Schizosaccharomyces pombe: one gene and its partners. The protein of the gene in region 1 interacts with the protein of each later gene in a pairwise test. Each region holds a gene or a part of one and is shown on either strand. Other genes may lie near its edges.

Region 1 (4,132 bases):
CCTACAGTAAAAAACCGTAAGACATTGACGGCAAACAGTAAAAGATAAACCCAAAAACCAAGTCCTTGAAAGAGGATACCAAAGATAACCATATTTTTTAATTGATGAGCGGGTTGTGTAGAATTGACGGCGCCAGCAATGACACCACAAATCATAGGAGGGAAAATAGGAAGAATCCAAGCAGGAGATGCGGTTTCAATGGTATATACATGGTTGTTGAAAATTGTAAAAAAAGCCATTACGCAGTATATAAAGGATACTGCAACGTAAATGTAATAAAGGATTCGAATGACCCACACCATCCACTCGCCGGTATCAGGATAGGCGTATATGGCAAGCATGTCGATGAACGTGGATATTGAAAGAAGACAAGTAGCAATGAAAAGCTTTTCCAAATGATGGTTCCAGGAATCCTTGATAGTTGAAGGATATTTAATAAAGCGAAAAAGCATGCATGATCCAAAGAGAGAAAACAAAAAGATTTGAAGAATATAAACAATTTTGCCAATTGTATTAAGACCATAAAATCGAAAGGGGAAAGAACCAATAATCAAACCAACACCACCAGTTGCCATAGTACATGCAAACCAAGACCATGTAAAATGCTTCAGTCGTTGACTGAGAGGGACATGAGGGGCTTTGACATTCCAGTCAAGCAACTCATGATACCTCTGTTTCAAGATTTCCTTGAGTTCACCCATGTCGAATCGAGAGATAAAGGGGAATTAAAAAAAAAAATAGTGGCCAAGAGAGAAAATGAAGAATGAATATAATATAATATAATATAAGGAGAAAAAGGAACAAAAAGGAAAAGACGGAGGAAGGAAAGAGACAACCAATTGCTAGCAATTTATCTGTGAGTCTAATCGCACATGTTAGTTATCGTGATGAAAATAAAAAATGATAGAGAGTGTAAAAAATGAATGACTGGCTGTTGCTAGTCTTAGTAAATGAGGCAAACTGCCGATACAGAAGTAGGATGAGAAATCAAACAAAAAGTCTAGTGCAGCAACAAATAAGCTTATTTTGTGTAGCAAACAAGTAAAAGAAAACAAAAATAGAACAAACAAATAGTGATCAACTTAGAAATCAACAAGAAAAGATGCATACAAATCCAAATTTCCAAGATTTTCGAGGGGCAACTTTCTACCAACAGATTGCAACGTTGATCCTCATCGCAAACAAACTGGCACTACACAACAAAAAGCCAAACTATACAGTCATCCTACAAAACAAAAACTTACCGATGGACCTGGCCAACCCAACAACTTCAGCAATGAATGACTGACTGGATAAGTCAAATTCGAGCCACTATATTTATATCTCTTGGAAGCTTAACGAATTTAACCAACCTGCTGTCAAATGCACAAACCTTCGCTAACCTTGTGAGAGTGGAGATAGCAAAATTTTTTCTTTTATGCCGAGGAGATGCTAATTATGCTGCTATGAAGTCGGTCAAGAGTAAATCTGGTCCTTATATGACGCAAGCTAGATCTAGATTAATGCTATAGGCATACGAAACTTTGGTATTAAAAAAAAAAAAAAAAAAAAAAAAAAAAAAAAAAACTAACTCAGTATAACAATATTGACAATAATAATATACCGAACCTGTGGTGTTTTTCCAGACTTGGCATCATAATAATTGGCCTAATTTTTCTGCAGGTCAAAGGTGCTTTTGGGAAGGGAAGTTCCATTTTCTCTCAATAGGCCACGAACTCGGTCTTTCAATTCCCTGCATTTTTGTATCCGCTATCGCTAATGTGGGTCCAGTAACAAGGGAGTGTGATTTTAGAGTCAGTTAGATGGAAAAGCTATCATTTACTGCCTAAAAGCAGTTCGAAATCTCGGATCTACGAACTAAGAAGCCGAACGGCTCATTCGCGTTATCAACGGGTATCTATGTATATAGACGGATCGTTACCCGTGATTATCAATAAACGGATCTTAGCTAGTATTCCAACATATGACATATAGTGATACGCAACGTAGTGTATCATAGCGTAGAGTAGTATTGCTGACAACTAAAGTATTTTGCGAGCGTGCGGTACAACTCTGTAATCATAAGAAATCAACTCGCAATATTAGTCTCAATTGTACACTCTCCAACAACCCACATATCGAAATGGAACAGAAACCGGAAGTTGATTACTCAGAGAAGTTTGCAGAGTTACAAAAAAGTTTAAATAACCTTAATACCATAGACATCGTACGTAAAAATCAAAATTTTGACTAATCTCTAACTTGTAATTGTAGGATGCGAACCTCGAGAAGCTTTTGATTTTTGAGAAGCAAGTTCGTCAGGCTTCTGACACCAGCACGAATACGAAAGTATTAATATACATTGCTGATTTGCTCTTTCGAGCTGGTGATTTCCAAGGCTTAAACGAACAGTTGGTTAGTCTCTTTAAAAAGCATGGCCAACTGAAACAATCGATGACAAGTTTAGTCCAACATGTAATGACCTATCTTCCTGGAATTGACGATTTAAAAACAAAAATTAATTTGATTGAAACATTGCGTACTATTACTGATGGAAAGATATATGTGGAAGTAGAAAGGGCACGTCTTACACAACTGCTTTCCCAGATTAAAGAAGAGCAAGGTGACATCAAATCTGCCCAGGAGATCTTGTGTAATGAACCAGTAGAGACTTACGGATCTTTTGATTTGAAGGAAAAAGTTGCATTCATTTTGGATCAAGTTAGATTATTCTTACTGAGGTCTGATTACTACATGGCATCTACTTACACGAAGAAAATAAATGTTAAGTTTTTTGAAAAGGAAGACGTCCAGTCTTTAAAACTTAAGTATTATGAGCAAAAAATCCGAATTGGTTTGCACGACGATGCATATCTTGATGTTTGTAAATATTATCGAGCAGTTTATGACACCGCCGTGGTTCAAGAGGACCCCGAGAAATGGAAAGAAATATTAGAAAATGTCGTTTGCTTTGCCTTGCTTACTCCTTATGATAACGAGCAGGCAGATCTTCTTCACCGAATTAATGCTGACCATAAACTAAATTCTCTTCCTTTACTCCAACAATTGGTTAAGTGCTTTATTGTCAATGAACTAATGAGATGGCCCAAAATTGCCGAAATCTATGGAAGTGCTTTAAGGAGTAATCCTGTTTTTGCTGAAAATGACGAAAAAGGTGAGAAACGTTGGTCTGAACTTCGTAAGCGAGTCATCGAACACAATATTCGTGTAGTCGCAAACTATTATTCCCGCATTCATTGCAGTCGTCTAGGAGTGTTGTTGGATATGAGTCCTTCCGAAACAGAACAATTTCTTTGCGACCTTATTGCAAAGCATCATTTCTATGCCAAGATTGATCGCCCAGCTCAAGTCATTTCATTCAAGAAATCTCAAAATGTGCAAGAGCAATTGAATGAGTGGGGTTCCAATATTACTGAACTTCTTGGAAAATTGGAAAAGGTAAGACAGCTTATTATAAAAGAAGAAATGATGAATTCTATTCAACAGGCGGTAGCCAAATAAATTGTTCCGTCTCTATTTCATTTCGTTACTTTCATGACTTTGTCATTTAAATAATATACTATTGGTTCAAAGGCCTTCAACTTTTTTTACGAGAATACAATAGTTTTAATGTCGAATTGCAACCTCGGAGAAAGTTATTCTAGTAAGTTTGTAGTGATTTTCGTTGTTATTTGTCTCGTAACTAGAAGGTTAACTTGATGAATTATTTTAAATAAATTATTGTAGTTCACTCAATATGTAGTCCCTTAATTTTTATTTCAGTTGAGTTTAGTTAAAAGATTGCCATTGGTATCATATCTGGCCTCAAAAAAAGTATAGCTTAGAAGAATATCGTCAATATCCTTCATATTTGGATCATCAGCAAATTCTGGATCTATAAAGAAAAACACAGGCAAGTCTACTTTTTCATGAGCATCTAGCTTTTGCTCTTCAAAGCAAAAGCATGCAACCTTTGAGAAGTAAACAGCGGCTTGACCTGGTACTATATTATAAGTTGCAACTCCTACTATGTCATGGTCGGACGTATTTTCAGCAGTATAAAACCCTAGAGCAGTCTCGCCTGGAAGAACATATATTTCACGCTGCTGGGGCCAAAGCTTCCAGCTAAGGTTTCCTGCAACGTCGCCATTGA
Region 2 (4,140 bases), on another chromosome or scaffold:
TGCCAACCTAAGTCTCAAGACTCAAGGTAAGTAATTACGCTACTGTTTTTTTTTGGAAAGCCAATGTTCGTATGGTATAACAGTATCTGTTATGAACCGTTTTTGTAGACGTTCTATAGTGCGTTATTGAAGTGATGCTAATAATGTGGTAGAACCTATTGTCTCGGCAGATGATGCCAAAGGAGCACAGGGTAAAGGGGCCGATGAAAAAGAGGAGAAAAAGGGTAAGTATTGAAGCGTTGATTTTGATAAAATTCGTATTAATCATGGGATTGTTCAGAAACCATTCAACCCCCTGAAGAAGTAAAGACTGAACCCCCTCAACCTGAAGAAAAGGAAGGAAAGGAGGCCAAGGAACCTGAGGAACCTCCAAAGGAAGAAGCTGAGGAACCCCAAGAAGGAGGGGAAGAGGAAGAAGAAGAAGAAGAAGAAGAAGAAATTACTGATCCTTTGGAAAAAATGACTCAAGGTTCGCTTATTTGAATGGGTGTACTGTTTCTTGCTAACATTTTTTAGAATGCATGGATGCACCAGATTGCAAGGAAGTGAAACACCATTTTGAAGAATGTACTGCCCGTGTTACAAAGAAGGTAGAGCAGGGCGACAAGTCTGAAGACTGTATTGAAGAGTTTTTTCATCTTTACCATTGCGCTCGTGATTGTGCCGATCCTAAAGTCTTTAAGGTTTTGGTTTAAATGCATTTAACGCTTGGTAAGGTCGAACGAATGGAATTATATGATTCAATTTTAGGAGGCATTCGTAATACTACCTTAATGTTGGTATCTATTCCTAAAATAACATTCCTTTTTTTATGTAAAAAATGGATTAAGATGATTCCCTAACGTTTTGTAGATGATATCGACCTACGTTAAGGTAGTAAATTTAGTTTTCAACTTTCGATTCTATTTTTATATTCCAATAATTTTTCGGTTTATAGAGCGTACATTAGATAAGTAAATGATGACCGGTAATCCCAATAGTCTTAGTACACTTACTTTGAGGGTATTATGTGAGTTACTAAAGTTTGAAAACTATTTAGAGGTTTTTGCTTACCGATTTGTCCCTAGGACGCTCAAAGGAAAGGACCGGGTTTACTGATTTAGTAGTAGGGTTGTATCAATACAGAAATAAATTACGAAATTTTATTATGGGACCAGGAAATGTTGAAATGACTTGAACACTTTAAGAGTTGCGGGTATTTAGGAAGGAAAAGCATTACATGCTTAATAATCCTGTTCCACCTTTTTTATTATATTTTATATAAAAGAGAATTGAACATATATACTACAAAGGCTAATGCATTAGGAAAGAAAATACAAAAAAAAATAATTCAGGAAATAACTTTTTTTGTTTCGAGTGACTTTCTGCACCCTTTTTTGCTTTATGTAGAAAAAAAAATATATATATATATATATGTATTTTTTTTTTTTTTTTAATTGCTCCCATAGTATCATATTAATTGGGAGTATTGCAGTTGCAATAATCAATTTATAACCCGGTCATAATCCGAGAATTTATAATTGCGCCTAATACAAAATAACAATTTGATAGATTTAAATTTACTCTCAAGCGATCTGTATATTTTAATAAATTTATTTGGTTTTGTAAATATCAATGTACGATTTGCCTAACCACTTTTCCAATTTTCCACAAAAACAAGGCACCTATTCAGTTCATACTAAAAAAGATTAGGAAATTTTTCAATGGAAATAGAGGGAAATAGTATTCACACTTACTAATGCTATAATTTAAATCGGTTTTTACCAAGTAAATTTCTTAGCAATATTTGCAGAATTATAAATCAGGTAACATTGCGACTTTGGGTGGCCTCTAGGTTAGTATAATGTGTCGAATATACCTGTACCTATACTGAACCAACTACAATGCCACCTAAAGAAGATTGGGAGAAATACCAAAAGCCAGTTGATACGGAAGAAGAAAATGATAAAAATCCACCACCTTTAGACGAAGGAGACATCGAGCTCTTAAAAAGCTACGTAAGTTACATTAATGATTGAATTTGTCACCAGCAGCATACTAAATGTCAATGTAGGCTACAGGCCCATATGCTAGAGAATTAGCAGCTATTAAAGAAGATACAGAGGCTGTGTTAAAAAGAATTAATGATACTGTTGGTATGTTTTATGTCGAGAAAGCAGTTGCACGATGTTGTCTGATGAATGGCGTTCCTGTAGTTCATATAGCTGATATGAACTACAAGATATGACATTCATGAACAGGATGTATTTTTACAATTTTTTATCATGTAAAATGCTCTCATTTTATATGAAATTTGCTTAACCCGTTGTTCTATTGCTAACTAGCCCTAGGAATTAAGGAGTCTGACACTGGTCTAGCACCAATTTCATTTTGGGACGTTGCTGCGGACCGCCAAAGGATGAGTGAAGAACAACCTTTACAGGTTGCCAGATGTACCAAAATTATTGAGAATGAACAATCTGCGGAGAAAAATGCATATGTCATTAATTTGAAACAGATTGCAAAATTTGTTGTCAGTTTAGGTGAACGAGTTAGTCCCACCGATATTGAAGAAGGGATGCGTGTCGGTTGTGATCGTAACAAATATGCTATTCAGCTTCCTCTTCCTCCCAAAATTGATCCTTCAGTTACTATGATGCAAGTTGAAGAAAAGCCAGATGTTACTTACGGAGATGTGGGTGGTTGTAAAGAACAAATAGAAAGACTTCGCGAAGTCGTCGAGCTTCCTTTACTATCTCCCGAAAGATTTGTTAAGCTTGGTATTGACCCTCCCAAGGGTATTATGCTTTATGGACCACCAGGGACTGGTAAGACACTATGTGCTCGTGCTGTTGCCAATCGGACTGATGCAACTTTTATTCGTGTAATCGGTTCCGAGTTGGTTCAAAAATATGTCGGTGAAGGTGCTCGTATGGTTAGAGAATTATTTGAAATGGCACGAACTAAAAAAGCATGTATTATCTTTTTTGACGAAATTGACGCTATTGGCGGGGCTCGCTTTGATGATGGAGCAGGTGGTGATAATGAAGTTCAAAGAACAATGCTTGAATTAATTACCCAGTTGGATGGATTCGACCCTCGTGGTAACATTAAAGTTCTGTTTGCGACCAACAGACCAAATACCTTGGATGAAGCTTTGATGCGTCCCGGTCGTATAGATCGTAAAGTTGAGTTTGGTTTACCTGATTTAGAAGGTCGTGCTCATATTTTACGCATCCACGCTAAAAGTATGGCGATTGACAAGGATATTCGTTGGGAATTAATTGCACGGTTATGCCCTTCACAAACTGGTGCAGAGCTTCGTTCTGTATGCACTGAGGCTGGAATGTTTGCGATTCGTGCTAGAAGAAGAGTTGCTACCGAAAAGGATTTCCTTGACGCCGTTCAAAAGGTTGTAAAAGGTAACCAAAAGTTTAGCAGTACTGCTGATTATATGAACATGAGCTCTTAGATAATTTCCTTTATTACGCCATTCTTTATGAGATTTCATAGGTTTATCCCGCAAATGAATTAAAAAACTTCAAAATTTTGTTGCCTGGTCACTTTAGCTGTTCGAACTAGAAACGTATTAGAAAGCTTTGTTTGATATCTTATGTAATAAATGACAGGTTGCAACGTTGGCATGAAAGAAAATTTCGTTCATTATACTACACGTATGTGCATGAGTGTATGTATGTAAATATATATATTTATACATTAAACTACCATATATATCAACTGATCATTAATATAAGAACGTGGCATAGCTGCTTTACATGATGAGTGGAATGATTGACAAACATGCCCAGGTTAAGTTAAATCAAACTGACTCTTCGTCATCATCATCTATCTCATAATTTTGAAGGAATGCCGCATTTTCAAATTCACCATTCGTCGGTGTAGATCTTATAAACAGTGACCGAACGCTTTGGTAAAGAGCGGAAAAGAATATTGGAATTGATGAAAAAGCTCCTCTTGTGTACGATATGCCTGATTCCAAAGGATTTTCAGTCGCTGAATCAGAACCAAGTCTTATAGCACCTTTAAGGAAACGACGAGAATAATAATAAAGAATGCAACCAGCCACTGCAGCCAGCAGGATAGAGAATATAATAGTCAAAAAGATACTCCATCCTCCAGGTTTTGGATGAGCTTTGTAAT
Region 3 (3,747 bases), 2.9 Mb from region 1:
GTGTTCGCGTTCTATCCAGAAATTTCAAATGTATTGATTTAAACAATGTACCTGAAATTATAAAAAATGCGAAGGTTGAATCGTCTTTTGGAACTGTTTATCGATCTGAAAGATATGGTTTGCGAGGTTGTAATGGGAAAGAGTTATCAAATATTTTAATAGCACCTGAAAAGTTTAAGCCTACTAAAATTCGTGTTCATTGTGGTTTAGCTTTGGATGGAATTGAAGTATTTTTTGGTGATGAATCAGTTCTTCTTGGTAACCGTGGTGGAAGCCCTCACGATTTTGAAATACAAGGCTCCCAAATTGTAGGCTTTCAAATACGTTGTGGAGCCTGGGTGGATGGGATATCCATTGTTTTAGAAAATGGTAAAACAAGTCCATTTTATGGAAATGCTAACGGGGGTGGGTTGAAAAGCTATTTAGTCCCAAAAGGTTTTCAATTAGTCGGGTTTTATGGCACATTAGGGGTAAGTTTTTTTTTATATTATTGATCTAACATTAATAGCCATTCATGGATTCAATTGGGTTTTTTATTAAGTAGCTTGAATTCTGAATACTAATTGAATACAATTGCTTAAGGAGAATGAAATTACGTACCATGTTTACAACTAATAAAATTACTACACTGAAATGTATAATAATGTATAGAAAAATAGTTCTATTTACTTTATAGCATGTCTTGTCTTTTAAACAATGAGTTTTGTAGTCATCAAACGAAAACACCTTTTCCAGAAATTTCAACCACATTAGAAAGGTTCTTAATATTTTGGTTCCATTCTCGTAGACGAGATTCCATGCTTGCAATTTGCGAGTGATTTAAAATTCTAGATTGGACGGAAGAAATGGTGACAATTTGGGTAACCTCATCTATAACACCTGTTATAAGCCCTACGCTTAAAGCACGCATAATGAGTAACTCAACTTCATTAGAAGGAATACGGGTTGCACGAGCAATTGTATCAAATGTTAAAGTACGCTGATTTGGAGGTAATTGGAAGACCAACTCAATGAGGGCCATTAAACGAATTTTTTGACCTAGTAAAGCAACCGAACTTTGCAGTAAAGGCATTTTGTTAATTTGCCCCATTAAGCGTTCAAACAAAGGTAAATCTCCGACATTCATGGCGATGACTAAATCATGTAACCACTCGTGCTGTGTACCTACTAGCAACTCGAAAACAGGATGTAATAATAATTCACCAAAATTATAAATATCACCGAGTATTGCGGCAACACTTAGATCCACCGCTCTTTCAACTAACTCGGTATGAGAGCATTTATCGAGGTCGATGCAAGATAAATACAATAGACAATGACGATAGTATTGAGCATAATCAGCCTTTGCCTTGTAGTAGTCTGCACTGACGCTATAATATGAAGAATGAATAAGACTTTCTACGTAATCAATGTGGTCGATAATTTTTGAGGCTTTGACAAGTAGTTCCCGGGCTTCATCCAACTTACCACTAATCAGCTTGATGCGAGCAATGGCAACAATGGAATATACATAGGCATCTTTATATTTCTCTTCATCCAATTCGTTAACAATTTGGTTTAAATTACGAAGGGCTTCGTCGTTAGAACATGACTCAAAAGCCTTTAAGCCCATGTACACTGCTTTGAGTTGATTGATATTAGGTCGAAATGAGTTGACAAAGTTCGTATACAAAGGAAGCCTTAAAGGTACTGTTTCTGGGGTATCAAAGAAAACAATCAAAGCATCTGTAAGTTGTTTCCATAATCTGGCGTCAGTTAATGTAAAGTTCATTTTCTTCTAAAGCACTTTTACAACATACTTCCTTTCATAAAGGTCTTCCATTAAAATATAGGATTGCTGAAGGCTTTCTGGAGCTCTTGTAGCTTGATCGTGTAAAAAATCAGACATATTGACAGACATTTCGGTATCCATGATGAAATCCTTCGTGGAGTAGTTGTTTGCTGATGGCAAGTGCTCAAGTCATATTACTACTGTTTGAAACTTTAGGTAAATGGAGAAATATAAGCATATTTATTTTATTTTCATTATGTTAGTTAAAATTATTATTAAAAAAAAAGTTAAAGCGTATTTGAAAGCATATAAGTAAAGCATGCTTTAGTAACCTCTATGAAAACAACGCAAGGTATAAAGCAAACTTCTATAAGTAAACGAACTATTTTATTAAGAGAAAACTGACTGTTTTTTAAGTAGTTCGTTTGTGGAATAAGATCTTTATCTTACCAAAAATAAAAAGGGTAGATAACCTTTCTGAAAATTTTCATAAAATAAACGAAGAATAAAAATTATTTTCTTTTCTATAACAAATCAATACTTCACGATCACTCAAAAAAATAAATAAGGTATCATTTTTATAATAGTTATAGTGGAATACTATACAGATAAATTAATTAGCTTTAACCAGCAATGATTAAAAAAATTACTTTTCTTTTAAAGGAATTTATCATGTCAGTATTCAATTATTCATTCTTCAGGAGCATCGCAAAACAGTGAATTAAGTTTTTAACCCCAATTAATGTGTTATGGTCTATAGTGTTTTTCGTCCATCTAGAATGTGCCAAATCTATCAGCTTGAGAACTACATTGCTTTCACAATGATACGTTGGATTTAGGGAAGAGTAATCATAAACGAAAAGAATACTAGAAGATTTTAATTCAATATAAGACTCAGAAAGATCAACTTCAAATAATTTCAATAAATTAAGGAAGCTTTCAACCAACCTTGCTTTTTGAGAAAGAGAGCAAGAGACAAAAAAATCATTTAAGCCTTCTACGACATCTGAATCCGTAAGGGTTTTACCCCAAGCTGTTGATCGTTTAATGTACGTATTGTTTGTTCTGTCCCACGACAATATACCAGTTATACGAAATCCAAGACTACCACTCGTCGTACTTCTGGAAACGGCATCTAATCTTTTTCGTTTTTCAAGAGGAGCGTCATCGGCCCACAACTGTTTTCCTAATTTGATATCCATGACACAAGGAGTTTCCATCTGATACAGAATATTTTCTAAGATTATAGCTTTTCCAGTTAAGGAAAAAGCAACACTTTCTGCGATCGGGTTGATACCCTCAATGTCTCTACTAGAAGGCATCCACTCACCGAAATTCTTAGGAATCCAGTTGTAGAGCGTAATATTGTCGTTACATGTTTTATAAAAATCAACTTCACTTTTAATGCATGGCTTAATTAGAATTTTATCATCCTCACTGACTAGTACTTGGCCATGACCAGCAGCTTGAAATGGAAACAGTTTTAGTTTCATCAAGAGTTAAAGAAAAAATCCGCTAGTACATGTTTTTTCGTCAAAAGTATATTTCTTGAAAATTGCAATACGCGTTTAGCAATATGCTGAAGCGTTATTTTCGATGTGACAGCTGTTGGGTAAGCGGAATGTAGAATGAATTGAAATAGTGTAGAGCTATATCAACCACTTCCACTGCTTGCACGAACATGCAGGTTATATGAGCTGAATAAATAAGTGTAAAATTTTATCTAATAATATAAAACAATGAATTTCCTAAACACATATCCAAATGTGTATGTACTCGCTGTTAATTTATTCAGCTTTTTTTACAGTAGATAAAGTTGTAGCCTGGAGATCGAAGTATGAATTTAACAGAAAGTATAAACTTTTTTGGATATTATTTAGAAAGTGTTTTGCAAAGTTTTTATAAATTATAATATTATTAAAAACCTATATTCCAAACCACTAAGGGAAAATATTTTAGCTAAATTACAATTTACA

What was found.
Region 2: the proteins of rpn502 (region 1) and rpt1 interact in a two-hybrid assay, tested with the Schizosaccharomyces pombe proteins (one study listed by BioGRID).
Region 3: the proteins of rpn502 (region 1) and rpn9 interact in a two-hybrid assay, tested with the Schizosaccharomyces pombe proteins (one study listed by BioGRID).

Annotation. Positions count from the first base shown.
Region 1 is NC_003424.3:4,908,866-4,912,997, reverse strand, and holds rpn502 (19S proteasome regulatory subunit Rpn502), read left to right. Parts: upstream 1-2,122; coding exon 2,123-2,206; intron 2,207-2,253; coding exon 2,254-3,501; 3' UTR 3,502-3,631; downstream 3,632-4,132. Other genes in the region: plasma membrane malate/succinate:proton symporter Mae1, read right to left, coding at 1-701; rsm22-cox11 tandem protein cox1102, read right to left, coding at 3,759-4,132. UniProt on the Schizosaccharomyces pombe protein: Acts as a regulatory subunit of the 26S proteasome which is involved in the ATP-dependent degradation of ubiquitinated proteins. Required for proper proteasome assembly.
Region 2 is NC_003423.3:4,341,112-4,345,251, reverse strand, and holds rpt1 (proteasome regulatory subunit Rpt1), read left to right. Parts: upstream 1-1,871; 5' UTR 1,872-1,883; coding exon 1,884-1,997; intron 1,998-2,053; coding exon 2,054-2,135; intron 2,136-2,330; coding exon 2,331-3,451; 3' UTR 3,452-3,629; downstream 3,630-4,140. Other genes in the region: qcr6 (ubiquinol-cytochrome-c reductase complex subunit 8), read left to right, coding at 1-26, 153-224, 281-469, 517-695; vacuolar protein sorting receptor vps10, read right to left, coding at 3,800-4,140. UniProt on the Schizosaccharomyces pombe protein: The 26S proteasome is involved in the ATP-dependent degradation of ubiquitinated proteins. The regulatory (or ATPase) complex confers ATP dependency and substrate specificity to the 26S complex.
Region 3 is NC_003424.3:2,042,007-2,045,753, reverse strand, and holds rpn9 (19S proteasome regulatory subunit Rpn9), read right to left. Parts: upstream 1,947-3,747; 5' UTR 1,913-1,946; coding exon 1,800-1,912; exon of another isoform or gene 1,746-1,799; coding exon 713-1,745; 3' UTR 595-712; downstream 1-594. Other genes in the region: SPOM_SPAC607.06C (metallopeptidase), read left to right, coding at 1-470, 509-544; arg82 (inositol polyphosphate kinase), read right to left, coding at 2,458-3,264. UniProt on the Schizosaccharomyces pombe protein: Acts as a regulatory subunit of the 26S proteasome which is involved in the ATP-dependent degradation of ubiquitinated proteins.